3 linked regions of the Astyanax mexicanus genome follow. The protein of the gene in region 2 purifies or fractionates together with the protein of the main gene of each other region. This does not show direct contact. Links are inferred from orthologs where the notes say so. Each region holds a gene or a part of one and is shown on either strand. Other genes may lie near its edges.

What was found.
Region 1: the proteins of wwox (region 2) and wbp2 purify together in Homo sapiens (affinity purification with mass spectrometry; 3 studies listed by BioGRID and IntAct, with this or other methods). This does not show direct contact. The link is inferred for Astyanax mexicanus from reciprocal best matches to the Homo sapiens genes WWOX and WBP2.
Region 3: the proteins of wwox (region 2) and vopp1 purify together in Homo sapiens (affinity purification with mass spectrometry; 3 studies listed by BioGRID and IntAct, with this or other methods). This does not show direct contact. The link is inferred for Astyanax mexicanus from reciprocal best matches to the Homo sapiens genes WWOX and VOPP1.

What each region holds. Positions count from the first base shown.
Region 1 is NC_064422.1:14,046,038-14,053,422, reverse strand, and holds the start of wbp2 (WW domain-binding protein 2), read right to left. Parts: upstream 3,096-7,385; 5' UTR 2,926-3,095; coding exon 2,867-2,925; intron 1,230-2,866; coding exon 1,121-1,229; intron 398-1,120; coding exon 262-397; intron 1-261. UniProt on the Homo sapiens protein: Acts as a transcriptional coactivator of estrogen and progesterone receptors (ESR1 and PGR) upon hormone activation. In presence of estrogen, binds to ESR1-responsive promoters. Synergizes with YAP1 to enhance PGR activity.
Region 2 is NC_064409.1:53,551,144-53,558,985, forward strand, and holds the start of wwox (WW domain-containing oxidoreductase), read right to left. Parts: upstream 3,110-7,842; 5' UTR 2,927-3,109; coding exon 2,820-2,926; intron 1,228-2,819; coding exon 1,163-1,227; intron 1-1,162. Other genes in the region: hprt1l (hypoxanthine phosphoribosyltransferase 1, like), read right to left, coding at 5,293-5,340, 5,432-5,508, 7,442-7,488. UniProt on the Homo sapiens protein: Putative oxidoreductase. Acts as a tumor suppressor and plays a role in apoptosis. Required for normal bone development. May function synergistically with p53/TP53 to control genotoxic stress-induced cell death.
Region 3 is NC_064413.1:43,513,689-43,520,784, forward strand, and holds the start of vopp1 (vesicular, overexpressed in cancer, prosurvival protein 1), read right to left. Parts: upstream 3,055-7,096; 5' UTR 2,846-3,054; coding exon 2,789-2,845; intron 1-2,788. UniProt on the Homo sapiens protein: Increases the transcriptional activity of NFKB1 by facilitating its nuclear translocation, DNA-binding and associated apoptotic response, when overexpressed. May sequester WWOX in lysosomal vesicles and thereby regulate WWOX role as tumor suppressor.

The sequences.
Region 1 (7,385 bases), on a different chromosome or scaffold from region 2:
ATGTGTGCTCCAACAATTCTACTAAGTAAGCAATGGCAAAAAGAAAAATTACAAATGACATATTCTGAATTCACAACTGCATTTTACATTTTACTGAAACATGTAAATGTTGTTTTCTTAAACTCTAGGACTACATCAGCTGACATCACTATTTAATTTTTTTCCATTTTTACCAATTTTCTCCCCAGTTTAAGCTGATCCAATTCACTGAAGAGCTTATTGATGACCTTAATGCTCCAATCAGATTTAGTAAGTTCTTACCCCCTGGTTCAGCGTTCACCGCACCCTTTATGTAGTTGGCTCCAAGAACAGGCTGTTTGACTTCACAGCCCTTCATTAGATAGAATGGCATCATGAAGGACTGAAGAGCATCCTTCCCCTTTGTCACGAAGATTACCTGATAGAAGAACAGACCGCACAACTTTTGTAAAGGCTCTGGAGAAGCTATTTAAAGGAATAAAATAAAATATTATAATTAGACTACTGACTGCAAACACTTTCACCTAATTTATTTACCCAGGACAGACCTATTCAGACTCCCACTCCTCTATGCAGAATTCTTTCAGCGATGTGATGCTTTATCTACAGTTTGTGTGGATGGTCTTACATTTTTCTTCAAACCACCTCTGATACAATAAATAATTCATATTCACCTATGATAAGCTTGCCAGACCATCCTCTGTAGCAAAGCAACCCCAAGCCATGAGAAATGTGAATAATATACGCGTAAACTCAATTGCAAAAATCATTGTTTTCATGTTCACGTCTGAAAGAGTGAGCGGGGGGGGGGGGGTGTTGAATAATTCATTGAAGAGGTTTTAAAAGCACCAAAATCACAAAGTTAACATTCATTATCGCTGATAAGTCATTGTTGTGATTAAAGTGGAACTTACCACAGTAAAACATTAGTCACTGCAGTAAATCTATTTACTCCTAGTTAATTAAATATCTGAGGGTTTTTGTGTAACACACTTAAGTAATTCCCTTTTGTCCATTTTTTTATACTTAAGTGAAAATCGTATGGTGTTTATGCAACCGGGTACTGGACTTTGTCTCAGTGTTCTCTGGTAACTGACATCTGATTAGTTAAAGAATATCTTTTATCTCTTTTCAGACTCACCCTGTACGGAGTGAGATAGATGCTCCCCTTCTTGCTCTTCTTGAACAGCTCTGGTAAACGATCAGCATCACTGAACGACAGCTCCACGTTTTCATAGGACATCAGAACACTGTGAAGGAGAACAGTGGTGTTTTACTCTGCTGGTAGAGCGAGATTGTTTTACACAACAGAGCAGATTTACACTTAATAAATGAAGACAAGAAGATAAAACACACTGAGCAAATCTAAAATTAGACCTACAAAGTCACAAAGAACTGTGTAAATGTCCACAGTCTTACAGTCTTACATCACTGAAGACTTAAGAAGCTTAGTGACTCTGTGACCCAGTGAAGATGGGAATGGGCATCTCTCTCTTTCTGTTTGTCTGAATGTTATTTGTATTTATTCTAATACCAGTGTTTCACATACTGCTAACAGGCTTTTTAATTTTGCATATGACTGATGTGGTAAATAAATATTTATATATCACAATAGAAAATGTTTTAATAGAGATATGTTATTATACATTACTTACAGCGATTTGGTTTTGTGGCGTTTTTGTTCATATTGTTAACAGAATTAACTCAAATTTTGGCTGTTTCATCCTACATGACATGATTTATCAGAATGTATCTTGAAAAGGTAGAAATGAAGTTTATATACAGAAATACATACACACATTTTTTTCTATTTGCAGTAAGTTATATATAAACACATTTTTTCTATTTGCAGTATATATATATATATATATATATATATATATATATATATATATATATATATATATATATATATATATATATATATAGAACAAAACAAAATTAATAGAACTAAAAGTTTAAATTAATGGAACGCATTGTCTATACAGGGCCTAGAATTATCTTTATTTAGCTCAGGTAACTGTAGCTGTGTGGACACTGCCTATCTACTCTCGTTTTTTAGCTGTTTGTTTATTTAAAGTGTTTAAATAAGTTTGTTTTAATAAATGTTGATGTGCAGACGGAAGGTAAACATTTACTGGAGCTTTTAATCTGTGTCAAATATCCTCCGTCACACCAACGATTAAATATAATCATCTTCGAACTCTCCGTTCCACCTTAAACGGTGCAGCTGATCATACCAGCCCCTCACAGCGAAGTCATTTGTGGAGGAGTGCGGAGTGCTGTGAGTGAGCGCGCGGAGGCCGGTGTTTAAGATGGAACGGAGAGTTGTGAGTGAGCGCGCGGAGGCTGCTGGTGTTTAAGGTGGAACGGAGAGTTGTGAGTGAGCGCGCGGAGGCTGCTGGTGGAACGGAGAGTTGTGAGTGAGCGCGCGGAGGCTGCTGGTGTTTAAGGTGGAGAGGAGAGCTGTGAGTGAGCGCGAAGGCCGGTGTTTTGTCGAGGTATTCTACCCGTCGATACGTGCTTCCTAAAGGCACTGCGCATGCGCTGACCTATACTTTTAGATTATTTCTCGTGTTTTTCAATGCATTAAACAACCTGGACTCACTGTTATTGCACAAAAGCGTAAATGGAAATTATAAAATTTGAATGCAATAATTATTATTGTATTATGGTATTAATATAATTATAAACAAACAAAAACACGTTAGTAGTGAACTTTACCACGACACAGTAATTTATGCTTTTCAAATATAGTAACTACATCTACTGGGACTCCTGCTTTTAACATGCTGTAATATGGTGCTTCTCTTGTATTTTTACAGGTAAATATACACTAGGGGAACACGGTTTAACAAGGTAGCAGAATCAGACAGAACACCGGTACCTCTCGCTGTTGTTGATGATGACTCCCCCGGACTCGGAATGGTTCTGATTCAGGGTCATTCTGGGTTCTTCTCATTCACGCGCTGTTGGAGATCTCTCTGCTGCTGATCGGTGGATCTGATCGATCAGTTTCCGATACTGGTGATTAGAGATAACCGCACCTGCAGCTCCCGCAGCCCGCACCGTCCCGCGGAGTACCGCCCCTCCCTGACGCAGCGCGCGTCTTTAAAGGACACGGAACTTTCCTGAAGGTTCCGAATCTTTCTGAATCGATTCTGATCGGATTGGATTATCTATTTAACAGTGGAGCTGTGTTTTTTAATATATAAAGTCATATTGTTGAATATTATAGTTATAAAACAGCAACACACACCTTAATATAAAAAAATATATAAATTATAGAGTACAAGTCAAAAATCTGGACACACCATAAAGTCGTTTTAAAATGAAATAATTTAGTAATAAAGTGTTAAGAAGTGTGAGAAGGAACACATTTCAAAATAAAAGTCCCCCCCTTAATATCACGACATTATGCTGTGGAGTGGTATTAAAAGGAATCCACATAATATCACATGTTATGTCTGATATCACATGTCAATTTCATGTAGTCCTGGTAGTACACAAAATAAAAGCCCTGTAAATTATAACAATTATGTTAATTAAATAATAATAATACTAATAATAATAATACTAACAATACTACTACTACTAATAATAATACTTGTATGTGTCACTCACTTAATAGCAGGGCATTATAATGTGTCATTTCAAAATAAAGGCCCTTTAAATTTTAACATTTATGTAATTTTACACAATGTTTAGACTGTTATTAAAAGGAATCTGTCTGATATCACAGCTCAATTTTATATAGCCCTGATAGTACACCACTTGTATGTTTCACTCACTTAAAATCAGAACATTTTGATGTGTCATTTCAAAATAAGGGCCATTTAAATTGTAACATTTATGTAATTTTACACAATGTTTAGACTGTTATTAAAATAAATCTGTCTGATATCACGGGTCAATTTCATATAGTCCTGATAGTACACTACTTGTATGTTTCACTCACTTAATATCAGAAGATTTTGATATGTCATTTCAAAATAAAGGCCCTTTAAATTATAACATTTATGTAATTTTACACAATATTTAGACTGTTCTTAAAATAAATCTGTCTGATATCACAGTTCAATTTCATATAGTCCTGATAGTACACTACTTGTATGTGTCACTCACTTAATAACAGAACATTTTGATGTGTCATTTCAAAATAAAGGCCCTTTAAATTGTAACATTTATGTAATTTTACACAATGTTTAGACTGTTATTAAAAGAAATCTGTCTGATATCACAGTTCAATTTCATATAGTCCTGATAGTACACTACTTGTATGTTTCACTCAATTACTATCAGAACATTTTGATGTGTCATTTTAAAATAAAAGCCCTTTAAATTGTAACATATGTAATTTTACACAATGTTTAGACTGTTATTAAAAGAAATCTGTCTGATATCACAGTTCAATTTCATATAGTCCTGATAGTACACTACTTGTATGTTTCACTCACTTAAAATCAGAACATTTTGATGTGTCATTTCAAAATAAGGGCCATTTAAATTGTAACATTTATGTAATTTTACACAATGTTTAGACTGTTATTAAAAGAAATCTGTCTGATATCACAGTTCAATTTCATATAGTCCTGATAGTACACTACTTGTATGTTTCACTCACTTAATATCAGAACATTTTGATGTGTCATTTCAAAATAAAGGCCCTTTAAATTATAACATTTATGTAATTTTACACAATATTTAGACTGTTCTTAAAATAAATCTGTCTGATATCACAGTTCAATTTCATATAGTCCTGATAGTACACTACTTGAATGTGTCACTCACTTAATAACAGAACATTTTGATGTGTCATTTCAAAATAAAGGCCCTTTAAATTGTAACATTTATGTAATTTTACACAATGTTTAGACTGTTATTAAAAGAAATCTGTCTGATATCACAGTTCAATTTCATATAGTCCTGATAGTACACTACTTGTATGTTTCACTCACTTAATATCAGAACATTTTGATATGTCATTTCAAAATAAAGGCCCTTTAAATTATGAAATGAAATATGAAATTGACCTGTGATATCACACAGATTCATTTTAATAACAGTCAAAACTTGTGTTAAAATAAAAATATTGTTATAATTTAAAAGGCCTTTATTTTGAAATGACACATCAAAATGTTATGTTATTAAGTGAGTGACACATACAAGTAGTGTACTATCAGGACTATATGATATTGACCTGTGATATCAGACAGATTTCTTTTAATAACAGTCTAAACATTGTGTTGAAATAAAATATTGTTATAATTTAAAGGGCCTTTGTTTTGAAATGACACATCAAAATGTTCTGATTTTAAGTGAGTGAAACATACAAGTAGTGTACTATCAGGACTATATGAAATTGAACTGTGATATCAGACAGATTTCTTTTAATAACAGTCTAAACATTGTGTAAAATTACATAAATGTTACAATTTAAAGGGCTTTTATTTTAAGATGACACATCAAAATGTTCTGATAGTAATTGAGTGAAACATACAAGTAGTGTACTATCAGGACTATATGAAATTGAACTGTGATATCAGACAGACTTCTTTTAATAACAGTCTAAACATTGTATAAAATTACATAAATGTTACAATTTAAAGGGCCTTTATTTTGAAATGACACATCAAAATGTTCTGTTATTAAGTGAGTGACACATACAAGTAGTGTACTATCAGGACTATATGAAATTGAACTGTGATATCAGACAGATTTATTTTAAGAACAGTCTAAATATTGTGTAAAATTACATAAATGTTATAATTTAAAGGGCCTTTATTTAAAAATGACACATCAAAATGTTCTGATAGTAATTGAGTGAAACATACAAGTAGTGTACTATCAGGACTATCTGAAATTGACCTGTGATATCAGACAAATTTCTTTTAATAACAGTCTAAACATTGTGTAAAATTACATAAATGTTACAATTTAAATGGCCCTTATTTTGAAATGACACATCAAAATGTTCTGATTTTAAGTGAGTGAAACATATAAGTAGTGTACTATCAGGACTATATGAAATTGAACTGTGATATCAGACAGATTTCTTTTAATAACAGTCTAAACATTGTGTAAAATTACATAAATGTTACAATTTAAATGGCCCTTATTTTGAAATGACACATCAAAATGTTCTGATTTTAAGTGAGTGAAACATACAAGTAGTGTTCTATCAGGACTATATGGAATTGAACTGTGATATCAGACAGATTTCTTTTAATAACAGTCTAAACATTGTGTAAAATTACATAAATGTTACAATTTAAAGGGCTTTTATTTTAAAATGACACATCAAAATGTTCTGATAGTAATTGAGTTAAACATACAAGTAGTGTACTATCAGGACTATATAAAATTGAACTGTGATATCAGACAGATTTCTTTTAATAACAGTCTAAATATTGTGTAAAATTACATAAATGTTACAATTTAAAGGGCCTTTATTTTGAAATGACACATCAAAATGTTCTGTTATTAAGTGAGTGACACATACAAGTAGTGTACTATCAGGACTATATGAAATTGAACTGTGATATCAGACAGATTTATTTTAAGAACAGTCTAAATATTGTGTAAAATTACATAAATGTTATAATTTAAAGGGCCTTTATTTTGAAATGACACATCAAAATCTTCTGATATTAAGTGAGTGAAACATACAAGGAGTGTACTATCAGGACTATATGAAATTGAGCTGTGATATCAGACAGATTTCTTTTAATAACAGTCTAAACATTGTGTAAAATTACATAAATGTTACAATTTAAATGGCCTTTATTTTGAAATGACACATTATAATGCCCTGCTATTAAGTGAGTGACACATACAAGTATTATTATTATTAGTAGTAGTATTGTTAGTATTATTATTATTAGTATTAGTATTATTTAATTAACATAATTGTTATAATTTACAGGGCTTTTATTTTGTGTACTACCAGGACTACATGAAATTGACATGTGATATCAGACATAACATGTGATATTATGTGGATTCCTTTTAATACCACTCCACAGCATAATGTCGTGATATTAAGGGGGGGACTTTTATTTTGAAATGTGTTCCTTCTCACGCTTGCCGCAATGTTCAGTGTATGCGCGCTCTAAGAAACAGCGTGGGGGCTAGTTTGACCAAGCGTTTTGAAGTGGGGGCTGGCTTGACCGCAGTGCAAAACGCCTGCAGTGTGTGGAGCGGTAGAGCTTAGATCGGGCCCAAAAATCCAGCCCGACCCGGCCCAAATCCATGCACTTTCTGCTTGAGCCAGACCCGACCTGAGCCATAAACTGTCCTTCTGAACCCGAGCCATTTTTTAGTAATTAGAGCGTTAAAATTGAGCTATTTAAAACATTTTCGGGCTGTTTGAATTAGCGAAATCTGTTAAGAATTATGTTAAATAA
Region 2 (7,842 bases):
CTTCACTTCAAAGCTTAGGTAACAGTTCCAGTGGGGTTGTACCATTTATCTCAGTGTAGTACTGGATTTAATTGGGAATTCTCTTATATTTTAAAAGCATCTGTGTAACTTAATCAATAGGACGTAATCAAAGTCTTTTACGCAAATAAAAATTTCTTCATCTTAGGGACTCAGAATCTAAACGTTGTCTAGAATAGTGGTTAAAGAAACCTGAAAGTATGTCTGAGGGCTGTAATGCTTTTAAAAAGAACATTACACAATATAAGTACATTAAACACCGCACTAAGGTGCACCGAATTATAAAGCGCACGATTAATCAACGTCTATTTTCTGGTCTATTTTTATACCTTAGGTGCACCGGATTAGAAGGCGCATATAAAGCGACAATAGTAAGGAACAAAGGTGTCGCTATGTTGTTAAACTACACAGGTTTCTCTCCTGAAAACTGAATATTTGAATGAGTAAAGCAATTCCAATTACTTAATTTTCAGCAGCAGCACTAGCCGCAGTTAGCAGCAGCGCTAGTCGCGGTTACACTGAGGAACACTCAGAGTTCTGGTAAGCCATAATATGTTTTAAATTTAAGATTCTTCAAAGTACCACTTCTTGCTTAGATAACAGATTTGAAAATCTTGGCTGGATTTTCTCCTTTAGATGTATGAGGTAGAGACACCTGTAATCGCTTTCAGTTAACAGCTGTGCTGAACTTGTAAAGACTTAATTACTTGAAGTTCTTAATGTGTTTAAGAGCATCAGTTGTGTTTTGAAGAGGTAGAATTGGTATTCTTATCCATATTATGGCAAGAACTACTATTTTTTTTGTATGATTGTTTCAAACATTCAGCTGAAAAAAAACACCATTTATTTTGTTGCAGGAATATATTCTTGAAATTAATAATAAAAAAGTCTTATTGCCAAGAATATTTTTAAATGCTAAAATAAAAAAAACTTTTTTCACATTGACCTTCCTTATAAAATGATACATATATGAAATAATAAGAAATAAGGTTTGGTGGTAAGTTTGTACAGTAAGCAAATTGCTTCCTTTAATTAACTTTAATTCACACTTTCTGGTAAAAACATTCAGACTTTATTCTAATCTTTTCCTAAAGAACTAATGAGAAATCTTAAAAATAGGAAGAATCCAGCTTTAAATTCTGACCTCCAGCACAGCGTTTCTTCTTTCCAGTTTTAGGATGCTCCCACTGTGTTTTCATCTCCTCATGACTGAAAGAAAAAACAGTATGGTTGGTAGGGCTGCACCAATGTGGCAATTATGGGTCGATGCTGAAATCTTGCATATACATATCTGCAAGTAATGATACACAAATTAAGAGTTTACAGAGAAACTACACATCCTGTTATAACTTTAGAAATAAATGTAACATTTATATACCTTACACTTTAGCTTTCAATTAACTGTATGCATGAAAAATTAGTTTTCATATTTTTTTGGTTTGATATTTACTTAGTTAACCAGTTCTTACATAGACTGGCCACATATTTAAATCCTCTTTTTGAATGAACATCGTAAATAAAACAATAGACCTATTAAAAGCAATAAAAAGTCTGTTGTCTGTTGTGTTTTTGTGAACACTCTCTCTTTCTTTCTCTCGCTCGCTCTCTTTCTCTGTCAGAACTACCAACATTACATTTTTTTTATCATGATCTTGAATATGATTAATCACAGAGTTGTTGTTGTTGTGTGACATGTGTTTGGCTGTTTTATTACCGTTGTTTCAAAAATAATTAAAAATTAATAAACATGGGGCGCAGAGTGGTCCAGCGGTCTAAAACGCTGCCACTATGAGCGGGAGGTCGCAGGTTCAAACCCCAGCTCATGCAGCTTTGCCATCAAGCTTCCAGCACTCAGAGGGAGCAAAATTGGCCCTGCTCCCTCTGTGTGGGTAGATGGCACTCTCTCCCCACATCACTCCTAGGGTGATGTCCGCAGCACAGGGCGTCTGTGAGCTGATGTATCAGAACCAAATCGCTGTGCTTTCCTCCGAGCGCGCTGTGACGCTAATCGGCTATGCTGCATTAGCAGCAGCTTGAAAAGAAGTGGTGGCTGACTTCACATTTTTTGGAGGACGCGTGTGCTAGTCTTCACCCTTCTGGTGTGTTGGGGCATTACTAGTGATAGGGGGAGTCCTAGTGAGTGGGTAGAAATAAAATTATAAAATAATAATAATAATAATAATAATAATAAAAATATACCTTAAGGGACAACTTGGATGTGTTCTTTCTTTTTAACTGCGTTTCCAAAGTATTGGATTATGACTCTGTATCAGCAGATACTCAAAAACAAATGACTCGGGAGCAAAAAAAAAATAAGATTTAAAAAAATTGCTTAAATAAATGAATTTGAATGTAATGTGGGCAGTGCTCAGCATTGGTTGATCCTTTTCTGGTATAATAAAAATCTGTCAGAAGATACTGAAAATAAAATATCGGCCAGACCGGTCAATACCAATGATTCTAAAAAAAAAAAAAAAAAAAGTCATTATCGGTCGATACTGGAATAATTCCAATATCATCCCTACTGGTTTCTGATGTTTTCCAGTATGAAGTGGTCTGACAGACTGTATACTGGGTAGGTAAATTAATACATACTCTATGAATCTATAGTGAAACTCATACAGTGTAAACAGTGTTTTAAACAGTACTGCAGTCAGCCTACCCAGAACACCTCACACACTTCATCTACTGATTCAGAAGATGCAGGAGTGTGAAACACAGTGATACTGATACTGAGTTCTGAGCAGGAATGAAGTGAGTCTTCAGTCTAAACTAGTGTATAACCAGGTTCATTAACTTACTTGGCATAATAAACCCAGCCATCCTTGGTGGATCTCTCCTCCCAGCCGGGGGGCAGCTCGTCCTCGCTGTCAGTATCGTCCATTCCCGCGTATTTAAGAGCAGCCATTGCGCTGTGCGGTTCTCCTGTAAGAGTTTCTAATTCAGCCGCTTCTGTGTCTCTCAGTCAGAACAGCTCCACTCCACCACCAGCAGCAGACCCACAGCAGCACTCTCCACCACTGCACTGACACTTCCGCAACAACACCGTGACGTACAGCGCAAGGACTTCTGGGATTTGTAGGCAGCGATGAGCCAAAAACACAGTAAAGTAAATCGACGCCTTTCTAAAAAAATAAATAAATCCATCTTATTTATTTTCACAAGTTTTTCAGGAAACACAGAAAAAAAAACATATGATAGTTATTATAGCTGTTTAAAAATTAGCAATGGTTTAAGAGGATAGTTTATCATACAGCAGAACAGTCAGAATTTTAAAAGATTGATTTAAAAAAAAAACAGAAAACAGGTAACAGGGCCTTTTTAGCTTGCTTTGTGGAGATATTTTACTGACTAAATTCAGAGGTATTCAAAAGGTATCAATAAAACTCAGTAATAAGGCTACAGAACTATGTCTTTATAAATAAGAAGTATTTAATTTAATTTTTTATTTTATAGTAAAATTCTCACCACTGACCAATCACGTTCACAGTCACGTGTTTTTACTATGTAATCTGTTTGTGCTTTTGCCAGATGTCAGTGCATGGGACGTGGCTTATTTTAGTAGACTTTTTGAATATTGAGGTTAAATGAATGATTATTTATTTAATATACAATAGTATTATCTAATTTAAATGATATATGTCGATTTGAAGAACAAAAATCAGAATATATTAACAGTAATAAATAAAAAGCAAATACATTTGTAATTTGTATACATATAGTAAAATAGCAAGCTCCTTTTCTATCTTAAAACATTTGAATTGAGATTAAATGAAAAAATGAATATAATAAAATAGATCAAAATTTTAACTTTCATAACATCCCAAAATGCTGGTTGGTGGGCTGTGGCTTTAAGATGTGCCAATTGGTTTGTTGTGCTGACTGTTCTAAAGAGCCAGCTGGTGTTTCACTAGTGTGAGCCTTAAGCCTCCTGTTTCTTTTTTTGTTTTTTTTTTAGATTGTGTTATTTGGTGAGCTGTTGTATTCAGCTGTGCCAATTGCTTGAGGTTATACTGTGTGTACCGCAGCTTTAGGATACGCTGTTTGGTGTTTTGGCTGCTTTACAACCTGTAGTTTTGGCCTGGCACAGTGGATATAACCAGTCCCTGTGAACTAGTAAGCTACCACATCATGTGGGAGACTGGGGTTCAATTCGTGGTATGGGTTACTATGCAGCGCTACTCAAATAAGCCATTAGAAACAAAAAATAAATTTACCTTTTAAACAATTAAATATTATCATGTCTGGGAAAAAAAAAAAATATATATATATATATATATATATAAAAATAAGACATAAGGTTTATTTTCTGAATTGGGATTGATCGTGCAGAAACATTGTCAGATCCCTTTATAGATGCATTACTGGCTTCAGATTCAGGGCAATGGCTGGGTCCTTGCAGGACAGTCACAGTTTTTCTTTGGGTATGTTCTATTTTTATTCTGCCTCCATCTTTCCCTTCTAGTCTGGCTTGTCTCTCAATTCCTGTCACAGAAAAAAACACCAAGTTTGACATTAGGAACTGCATTAATAAGGTGTTACTTATGGCCTGGTCTGAAAATGTTGCATTCATACTATATTTCTGGATAAAAGAAACAAAAATCACATCACATTTAGAACATTTTTCTATATTTTCATTATTAAAATAACGAAGCCAACAACAACATACATTGGTGTTATTTTATTGCAGTAATTCAGGAAAGCTTGGTGGCAATACCAAAACATCCCAGCATCACACACAACACACAGTTTTACATTCTTTATGTCAGTACATGATTAAAACACTGTACATATTTATTATTATATATCACAACAAATTGTACAGTCATGCACCGCCTTAGTAACTCCAAATAAATGTCTTACTTTTCATTCTGTCTCTGGACCTAAAAGTCTGAGACAGCCACGTCACAGAAAAAGTGCCATTTATAACACAAAATGTTCAAGTACATCTAAGGCCTCCATCAAAATAATAAATAAAAAGATACATAAAACAACATCTAGGACGATGATAGTTGTGATATTTATAACCTATTAAAACAAAACAAAACAAAACTAGGCCTATTCATTCTGAACAAAACCATAACTTGTATTCCAGGCGTTCTGTTTCTCTCCAGCACCATGAGAGGTCATTTCTTAATTGGATCTGCATTGCATGAGTTCACATTCCTTTAATAAAACATGTAGGATGTAGAAAAATAATTCTTCATAACCAAACCAGCATGGAGGAGTCACAGTGGTTCTCTGTCTTCAGTCATCCAGCACTTTGGATTCTTTTCATACTTTATACTTCTCTTTTGCTCTGTCACTTAGTATACAGATGTGCTAGGTATAAAAAAGGCAATAATTATTCCAGAAAACATTTATAATTAATATGTGCATGTCATGTATTGACACAATGCTTACATATACTTACACTAAGGTCCCTGAAATATTCATTGTAGTCTAAAGCATAGCCCACCAGGAACTTGTCAGGAACCTCAAACCCGATGTCTAGGAGGAAAAAGTGAAATACAAAAAAAAAAGCATTAAGTCAGTGTGCAGGTAGGTAGGTAGGTAGACCTCCATAATGTTTGGGGATATGCAGCTCTGGGGAAAAAGGACCACCTAAAAATGATGAGTTTCTTTGATTTTACCAAACTGAAAACCTTTGGAATGTAATTAAAAGGAAGATGATCACAAGCCACCAAACCAAGCTAAACTGCTTGAATTTTTGCACCAAGAGTGGCATAAAGTTATCCAAAAGTAGTGTGTAAGACTGGTGGAGGAGAACATGCCAAGATGCATGAAATCTGTGATTATAAACCAGGGTTACTCCACCAAATATTTTGTTTTCTGAACTCTTTAAACTTTATGAATATGAACTTGTTTTCTTTGCATTATTTGAGGTCTGGAAGCTCTGCATCTTTTTTGTTATTTCAGCCATTTCTCATTTTCTGCAAATAAATGCTCTAAAATTACAATATTTTTTTTTTGGAATTTGGGAGAAATGTTTCTGTGGTTTATAGAAGAAAAACTGAAGGTCTCATTATTTTCAGAGCTGTATATTCCCTTGATATGCTCCTCACATCTTAAAATACCAAAATCAAATATAATTAACATTCACATCCCAAACTTTAAGGGTTTTGCATACATTTATTTTTTAAAATACTGAAATTATAACAGCCCCCTCCTTTCACGGCACCATAATATTTGGGACAGATCAGTGATAAGTACATGAAAGAAGCATCTTCTCTAGTAATGCATTGCCAGGTCTCTTGTGAGGCTCTTTTGTTTGTCTGGGGGTGTTGTAACTCTCATCACCATATGGAACACGATTGATTGAATTTAAATCAGGTGACTGGCAATACATTTTTATTTCTTTAACTCTTAAAATATCTGTGATGCCTTAAAGGTATGTTTGTGTTATTAACCTGCTGTAGGATAAGGCCTCACCTATACATGTGTCAGTACCTGTATCAGGCATATATGCCCAAGCCATGACATCCCACCACCATGAGGTGGAATGTTTTGGATTGTGGGTAGTTTTTGTCTCCACACTCAACTCTTGCAGTCACTATAATTATGTGTTTGGGTTTTTTCCAAGATTTTTAGCAAAGAGCAGTCAATGACAAATGCACACCAAACTCCTGAAGGCTCTTCTGATTTATCGGACAGACAATAGAGGATTTTCTTAATAGTAAAATTCTACTTCCATCAGCAGCACTGTTTTCCTTGGCCTACCAGTCCCTTTTGCCAAAATAAGCCAATCAACAATCTTGTTTTTTTTTTTTTATCCCAATCAATATTTCTTATACATTTACTCGAAAAGCTATTTTTTTGTTATTTTTATATCATATAGAACAATGGCAATGACACATTTAAGGTACCGTCAGACTTCTTACAATTAAATATGTTATGTTATGTTTATGCATTAATAAAGCAATAAAAACACAATTAAACCAAATTTCCCCAAATATAACGATGAATGCATTTGCCGTTTGGAATATGTACTTTAATCAAAGGAAAATACATTTTTGTCCCAAACGTAATTGGATTATGGATACACTGTGTAACATTTAAAATAATAAAAGTTACATCACGGTATCATCATTTGCTCAAACAAAAGCAGCTTCACATAATGAAGTGTACGATAACAGGTAAGCGAGGGGACAATGATAATAGACTACCACCACTTCAGTTCTAAAGCTAAAAGCAGAGGTCAAGGGACAGGAACATCTGTGCTTCTAGGACAGGCCTAAAGAGCTTATCATCTTCCACCCTACTAAAAGCATTGCATAACCACTTCAAGCACTGATACATAAGCTTGTGTGCGAGTATCATGTCTAACAGCACGAGAGAAGGGTTTTCCTTCCTGTGTGGATTACATAGGAAGCTTAAAAGTAAAAATTCGACATGCATTCAGATCTAATAGAAATGAACTTACAATCAGGACGATATCCCGAGCTTCTTGGTGTTCTTTTCACTAGAAGGCTGAAATTGAATAGAACAGTAGCTTTATATAATTAAGTGCAATAAATATTCATTCTTTATTTTAGTTTTTATATAAAAAAAAAACATAAAATCATGTTAAGGTTTACAGAGTTAAATAAAATAAGACGGACACTAACTACTACTAAAGACTGCTTTCATACTGCCATCCACAGAGACATGTCCTGTATAGCACACAGACTATCAGTAAGTAGATACTTAGAGTGTATTATACTATATAGATGGGAAAGAGGGGCATTTGGCCATTAATGCCCAGTATGTAATCTGTTGCTACCCGTTCCATTAGCTAATGGTCATGTGACTCACATGGTTCAACTGACTCATGTGACTTTAAAT
Region 3 (7,096 bases), on a different chromosome or scaffold from region 2:
ATTTCATTGTCGCAGATAAATTTCCACTGTCGGGATAAAATCATGAGAGTCTTGCTAGAGTTAAGTTGCGGTTGCGTAATCCAAATCGACCACCAGTTTCAACATGCAAGATCCCCAGTCTAACCTTAACCCTAGTGATGGGACAATACGCTTTTTTCAGCTCCGATCCGATACCGATACAAAACTGATAAAATTGCCGATACCGATACAAATACTGATACTTTTAGTTTATTAATAGTACTATGATTAAGGTTTCATAATGAGGCTGAAACAGACCACACAGCCCTTTGAAGAGTATACTCAAGTGCATTTAATGTAAATGCATTCAAAAGTCATTTATTTATACTTTATACTGCATACTTTATATGCAAATACACAGTAGTTTCCTTTCAAGTTAAATGATTTAATTTTTATTAAATATTAAAAAAAGGTAAATATTAAATACGCTAAATAATAAATTCAGGGCATTGTTTTGCTACGGTTGCGCAGGAGACTTTTATTTTGACAAGTAGCATAGAGGATTAGCTGCAATAGCTAATGGCTAACCGGTGGTGCTAACTGTATTTCCGAGCTGAATTAATCACTGTTTTTTAATAACTGATTGATTTCTTAGTGCTGGTTAGGGTTGGTAGGATCTGTGGTTTGATATTAGATGTGGATTATGGCTGTAGTTCACTTAATATAGTTATTTATTACATTCACAATGCCGGAATGCATTTGCTAACGGCTAACTGGTGTGTTTGTGCTGGTTAGTGTTTGTAGATCCTGTGTTTTTATAGGATATGTGAATTATAAATATAATTTGCTGTCAGTTCAGTGCTAGCTAGGCTAACAGACTGCTGGTGTTAATCTGTTTATTTGGACGCTGACTTTACGTGTACCGTTCTGCTGTACAGCATTTTCAAAGTTAAAACTCTCCAGATAATTGAATTTTTATTGTAGACAAATAGCTAATGTTTACTCAGTCAGCTGCAGACTGAAGCTGCTGGATGTTCAGGGTAAACTGTGGAACTGGAATCCGGATCAGTGATGTGTTTCGTGTTAACGTTACGGCGGGTTTACTGTCCAGCTCAAGCTGTGGACTGGAATATGGATCGGTAAGTGGATCGGACGCGCTCGCCCGATATCCGATATGTCGAATTACGTCAATATCGGCCCCGATACCGATATTGTATCGGATCGGTCCCATCTCTACTTAACCCTAACTCAAACCATCACTAATTGTGGAAACATCACACTAGACCTGAAGCAGCTTGAACTGTGTGTCTCTCCACTCTTCCTCCAGACTCTGCTCCCTTGATTGCTAAATGAAATGCAACATTTACTGATGATCAGTGATGCTTTGAAGAGTCATGTCATCTGATTGTGTTGGTCCACTGTGTCCAGTCAGTACAGTGTTTTCCCAGACAATCTTACAGCACTTCATGCTTCTCTCTGCTGACAACTTTTCCAAAGATGCAAATTTCATTTTCCAGCAGGTCTTGGCACACTGCCCACACTGCCAAAAGTACCAATTGGTCTTGTATAATAATCAAATTTTCTGAGACACTGATGTTTGGGTTTTAATTAGCTGTAAACCATAATCATCAACAGTAAAATAAATAAATAATTTAAATAGATCACTCAGTGTGTAAAACGTCTGCATAATATATGAGTTTCACAAAATAAACTGAAATACTGAAACAAAGTAACTTTTCAATGTAGGAATGTAGGATACAACAAACAAGAAACTGTAATTCATTACTATACTGTATTTACAGTATGTAAAACTGAGCTACATTGTATGTGTCCTTATCCTTATCCTTATTTTTACTGTCATAATGAAACCTTTGCAAACAATATATATACATATACAGCTCTGTAAAAAATTGAGACCACCCTAGTTTCTGAATCAGTTCCTCTGATTTTGCTATTTATAGGTTATAAACAACACTTTTCCCAAATTACAAAACAAATATTGTCTTTTAGAGCATTTGTTTGCAGAAAATGAGAAATGGCTGAAATAACAAAAAAGACGCAGAGCTTTCAGACCTCAAATAATGCAAAGAAAACAAGTTCATATTCTTAAAGTTTTAAGATTTCAGAAAACAAAATTTGGTGGAATAACCCTGGTTTTTAATCACAGTTTCATGCATCTTGGCATGTTCTCCACCACCAGTCTTACACACTGCTTTTGGATATCTTTATGCCACTCCTGGTGCAAAAATTCAAGCAGTTCAGCTTGGTTTGATGCCTTGTGATCATCCATCTTCCTCTTGTTTATTTTCCAGAGGTTTTTAATTTTGTAAAATCAGAGTAACTCATCATTGTTAAGTGATCTCTTTTTTTTTTTTTTTTTTTTTTTTACCAGAGCTGTGTATAGGTTAACCAATCAACTATGACTACAGCTACAGTGTCAGGTTCATATGAAGGCATGAACTCCGGTGTCCTGGGGCTAAACAGAAATAGCAGCAGTATTAAATAATAGAAGTAGCTGTAGTGGTGGCGTGCTCTTGTTTATGGTTGATTGAACACGGACCCCGAGACACAGGCTTATTATTATTCCTAATTGCGACACTCACACACTGTACATTTAAACAGCAGCACTGGAGGTTATTCGGACATATGCGGCATTTTACAGCACTCCAGCTCAGTCAGAAAGACAGGAAAGTGAGGCAGACAGGAGTCAGGCTACTCCTCTGTAAGTGTAAATAAATAACACAGTGTGTTTTTGTGTTCAGCGCCTCCTAAAGCAGGACCTCCTCTCTCTCAATCTCTCCGAGTCTCTCCTGAATAACAGCCCACTCACCTCCACCAGCAGCACCCAGACCGTTAGGAGAACACCCACTCCGCGACGGCTCTTCATCTTAACTCGCTTCTTCCCTTCTTTTGGCACAACCTGGAGAGATTTCTGTCACGAGCACGGCTCCATCGCAGTCCTCCCGTCCGTTCTCTCACTACATGCCCTCTTTCTCTCTGTACACAAAGCGGCGGCGGCGGTTACTGTAGCTAACATCCGCGTATCCGTAGCAGCTTAGCCCGTACTGTCAATGCTAATAGCGTCGGGTGTTTTTCCCCTACCCGTTTTCGTACAAGTCCCGCCTCTCGCCCTTTTGATTGGCTAGCTGCACTTTTCTCGCAAGAAATTTAAAGATTGGACAGAATGCGTGTCAGTTTAAGCTGTTCGCCAATCGTAGAGCACCGAGCGCGGAATCCTACTAGCCAATCCCAGCGCGGTAAGGCGGGACCTAACGTAATACGGGTGGGAAGTGAAAAGCGCATGCGGGATATCCCTGCTGTGTTTTATTATCTTTATTTATGTATTCAACAAACAAGCATACAAATAACAAAATCTAAGTTATTGGTAGCTACAGACTTAATTATTCTTCGATCCAACATGCAAGAAACAACAAACTGACAAATAATAACAATAATTGAGAACATTAATTGAAGAAGACTAATCAATACACAAGTGATCATCATTATAAAACAAATCATTATAAACAGAATGTTTATTTGAAGTATGCTGTAGTTGAATGTAGTCACATTATGTTTAACACAAATGTTTATACCTTGCTTTAAATTAAAGTTTTAATGGAAGTTGTAGCACCTTATTCACTAAATAGAACAAACAATACATTCTAATATACAGTAATATACAGAATAATACAAAATGTACTAAATATACAGAATCAGGAAGGTTCTACATGCTTTCAGCTATATATTAAGTATATTACATACTTAATTATACAGTATAGACAAGCATGCAGCAGCAGTAACTGCAGAGTAGTGCAGTTTAGTTTGTTTGAGTTTTATGGATGCTGTCCATTAAATTTCCCATTACCCATTTTTGTAAATATGCTGTGCTTATGTGTCATTTTGTAGTTGACTCATAAGCCAGAATGATTGTCAAAAATAAAAGTCATATTGGGTTTGATAATATTGATAACATTTTATGCATAAGGTGAGAAATATGGGGACAAAAACCATCACAGTTAGCAGTATTTAATGCAAATTTACTAATTATAATACTATTTACTTAAATTTACTTAAATAATGAAGAAACACATAAAAAATGACATACAAGTCTGTCTCAAAATATGGCAAATATAAAAGTCATATTGGTTTTGATAATATTGAGAACATTTTCTGCCTAAGGTGAGAAATATGAGGGTTGTTGTCATAAAACTACTCTGGGGCAAGTGTTTCTGAATATAATGAATTTGCTCAATTGTGGTCCTGAAGGGTTAATGTTCAGCACAGATTCCCAGATAAACCTGTTAATTACAGGGGATTTTCGCAGTCCTTCGAAGGATTTGATGTGAAACGATAAGATTAAGAACCCAGTGTCACAATATCTGCTATGTAAATATAGCTGGCATTTGCTATCCAATATGTGAAGCTGTATAACATTAGAGTGAACATCAGTCAGGTGTATTATATGTACTGCTAAAGGGGAATTCCACAGATTTGTCTAAATCCCTGCACAAAGGGCATTTAAACATGTAAACATACTAAATTAAGGGGGGTTGGTGTGAAATGTGCTGTTCTCTAAAAGTGTATGAAGACAATAATGACAAAAATGTTCATGGTGGTAGTGTTCCTGTCTCAACCACCATAAAGGAAATCAAAGCCTGTATATTTCTTAAACAATTTCTTTAAACCAGACCAAATAATATCTCGAACACCAGGCAAGATGATTGTAATCTGACTCCTCTATAGTGAACATTCAGTGAGATCAACACCCCCGCTGTGGATATCAGGCTATGAGCTTATAACTGTCAGGCTATCATAATGTAATATCATGACTCCCCAGAGTATTTACCTGTCTGTAGAACTATGGCAACAGCAGTCATGGAGCAGAGAGAGAGAGAGAGAGAGAGAGTGAGAGATACAGAGAGAGAGTTGGTGAGTGAGAGAGAGAATATCTCTCTGTTGTTTGGTGGTATTATTATTTTTGGAATAACTCCAGAAAGCCTTATAAGAGGAGATCATTTGGTGTTTTTTTTTTTCAATAATTAGACCCAGCCTTTTCTTTTTCAGTGGCATTGTTTTGCTGCCATTAAATCTGAAACTCACTGTTGCCATCCTCACTGTGTGCGTGATAGACTGGCCATGAAACCTGCTTCTGCGTCTGCATCCTGTGTATGAAGTAATCTGACCTGATGGAGGGTCTGAGGCCTGCCAGAGGCAATCTGTGCAAAATCCTCTGCTGGTCCGGTAGACTGAAGTATCTTTAAATTTGAATTAAAAAGGTTCTTCCATAGTAGTTCTCAGTAATATTCATTTTGTATGAAATATACATGACTCAAATGCCACATGATTTGCAAAATAAAAGGAGATTTTCCATGGAAAGGAAAATATAGGCTGCAACTAGGCCTAATCCCTGTCCGGGAAACTGACCCTATGGCCTGAGGATTGCGAGCTCAAATTCTGGGTCATGCTGCTTCATCATCTACCTCTGGATCCCAAGAGAATCCTGGTCATGCAGCTTGCCATCAGCTGCCAAAGCCCTGAGAGTGCACAGTTGGCCTTGCTCTTTCTGGGTGAATAGATGGCACTCTTTCTCCTCATCACCACAAGGCGTCTGTGAGCTGATGAATCGGAACCGAGTCACTGCACTTTTCTCCAAACTTGCTGTGATGCTACTCGGAAATGTTACATCATCAGCAGTTCGATAAGAGGCGGTGGCTAACTTCACGTGTTGGAGGAGGCATGTTTTTGTCTTTACTCTCCTTGTGTTGTGGCAAACAATGGGTGGAAACATTGGTCTAGCTAAATTAGGAGAAAATAGGAAAAAATAGAAATGAATAAAATAATTATCATTCACATCTCAATTACAAGCACAGTTCTTTTTGGAACCCATATATTCTATGGCATTCCTGAACGTAAGTTAGGTTTGTACCTCTTCTTAAGCCATAATGGCAAATTTCTGTATTCTTGGATAATGTAATTCTTGGACTGTATTTTCCATATCAGCTGGAATTTTTAATTGTAATATTTAGTAATATTTTAGTGATATTTAGTAAAAGTAATATTTATTCTAATAATGGTGTCATACAGAGTAAATAAACCCTTGTGGCTTTTTTATCGTAATTCCCACAGGTGCCTAGAACCTCTGCAATGCACTGTATGTAAACATCCTCTAGAAATCCTAGTAATGTGCTGGCAGCAAAAAATAACATCCCGTTTCCATCAGTTTGTTTTCTCAAAATAACACTGTGCCTCCTCACACTGCCAGCATTTCCACTAGTAAACAGAAGACAGATCATTTCAGGAGTCTGTAGTGATGCTTCATTATATCAGATGCAATGTCACATAAAGAGTGGGGTTCATGAGCTGATAAACTCAAATTTAATTCAATAAAAGTTGAACTCAGTGTTTCTGCTCTCTACAGACCCAGAGACAGTGCTTAATAAGTCCAACATATTGCCAGGCGGCGCACACTACTCTAAACACTGAAAAATATTATAAATGAGATTTGGTAGGAAATAACTGTAGTAAATAAGCCAGTTTAATGACTTACTTATGATAAATGTAGCAGAAAGATTTATTTAGGTAGCCTACATAAACCCATGAAATGAAGTCACAAATATAATCACAAATAAAGAACGTCATCAGATCTTCAAAAGTATGATCAGGCAAATTAAATTAGACAAGCTGAAAGTTCAGCGGTTCAGTCAGTCCAGGTTTTGTGAATATAAAGACATTAATTAGAACTATTAAGTCAGTAATCAGAATGTTATAACTTATAAGAACTTCAAATCACATTAAAAAACATGTACAGGTAAACACAAATGCAGTACAGTAACAAGAATTTCTCATTTTAAAGAAAGTAGGTGAGATCTTGTTATTTAGTCTGAAGAACAAATCTATGGTCCAGATTTCTGCTGGACATCCCCAGTCAGTGCTTCAGTGAGTGTTTAATTCCAGCACCAGCTTACCAGATTTAACACCATTAAGCACTGATCTACCAAACCAGCTGTTGATATATTCATATATGATGCATAAATAATAGTACCAAAAAAGTATTTTGGATATGTTTTAATGAACACAGTGATGTAACACCACAACTTTCTGTAAGAATGTGTTGTATGTATTGTCATATTAGCATTTT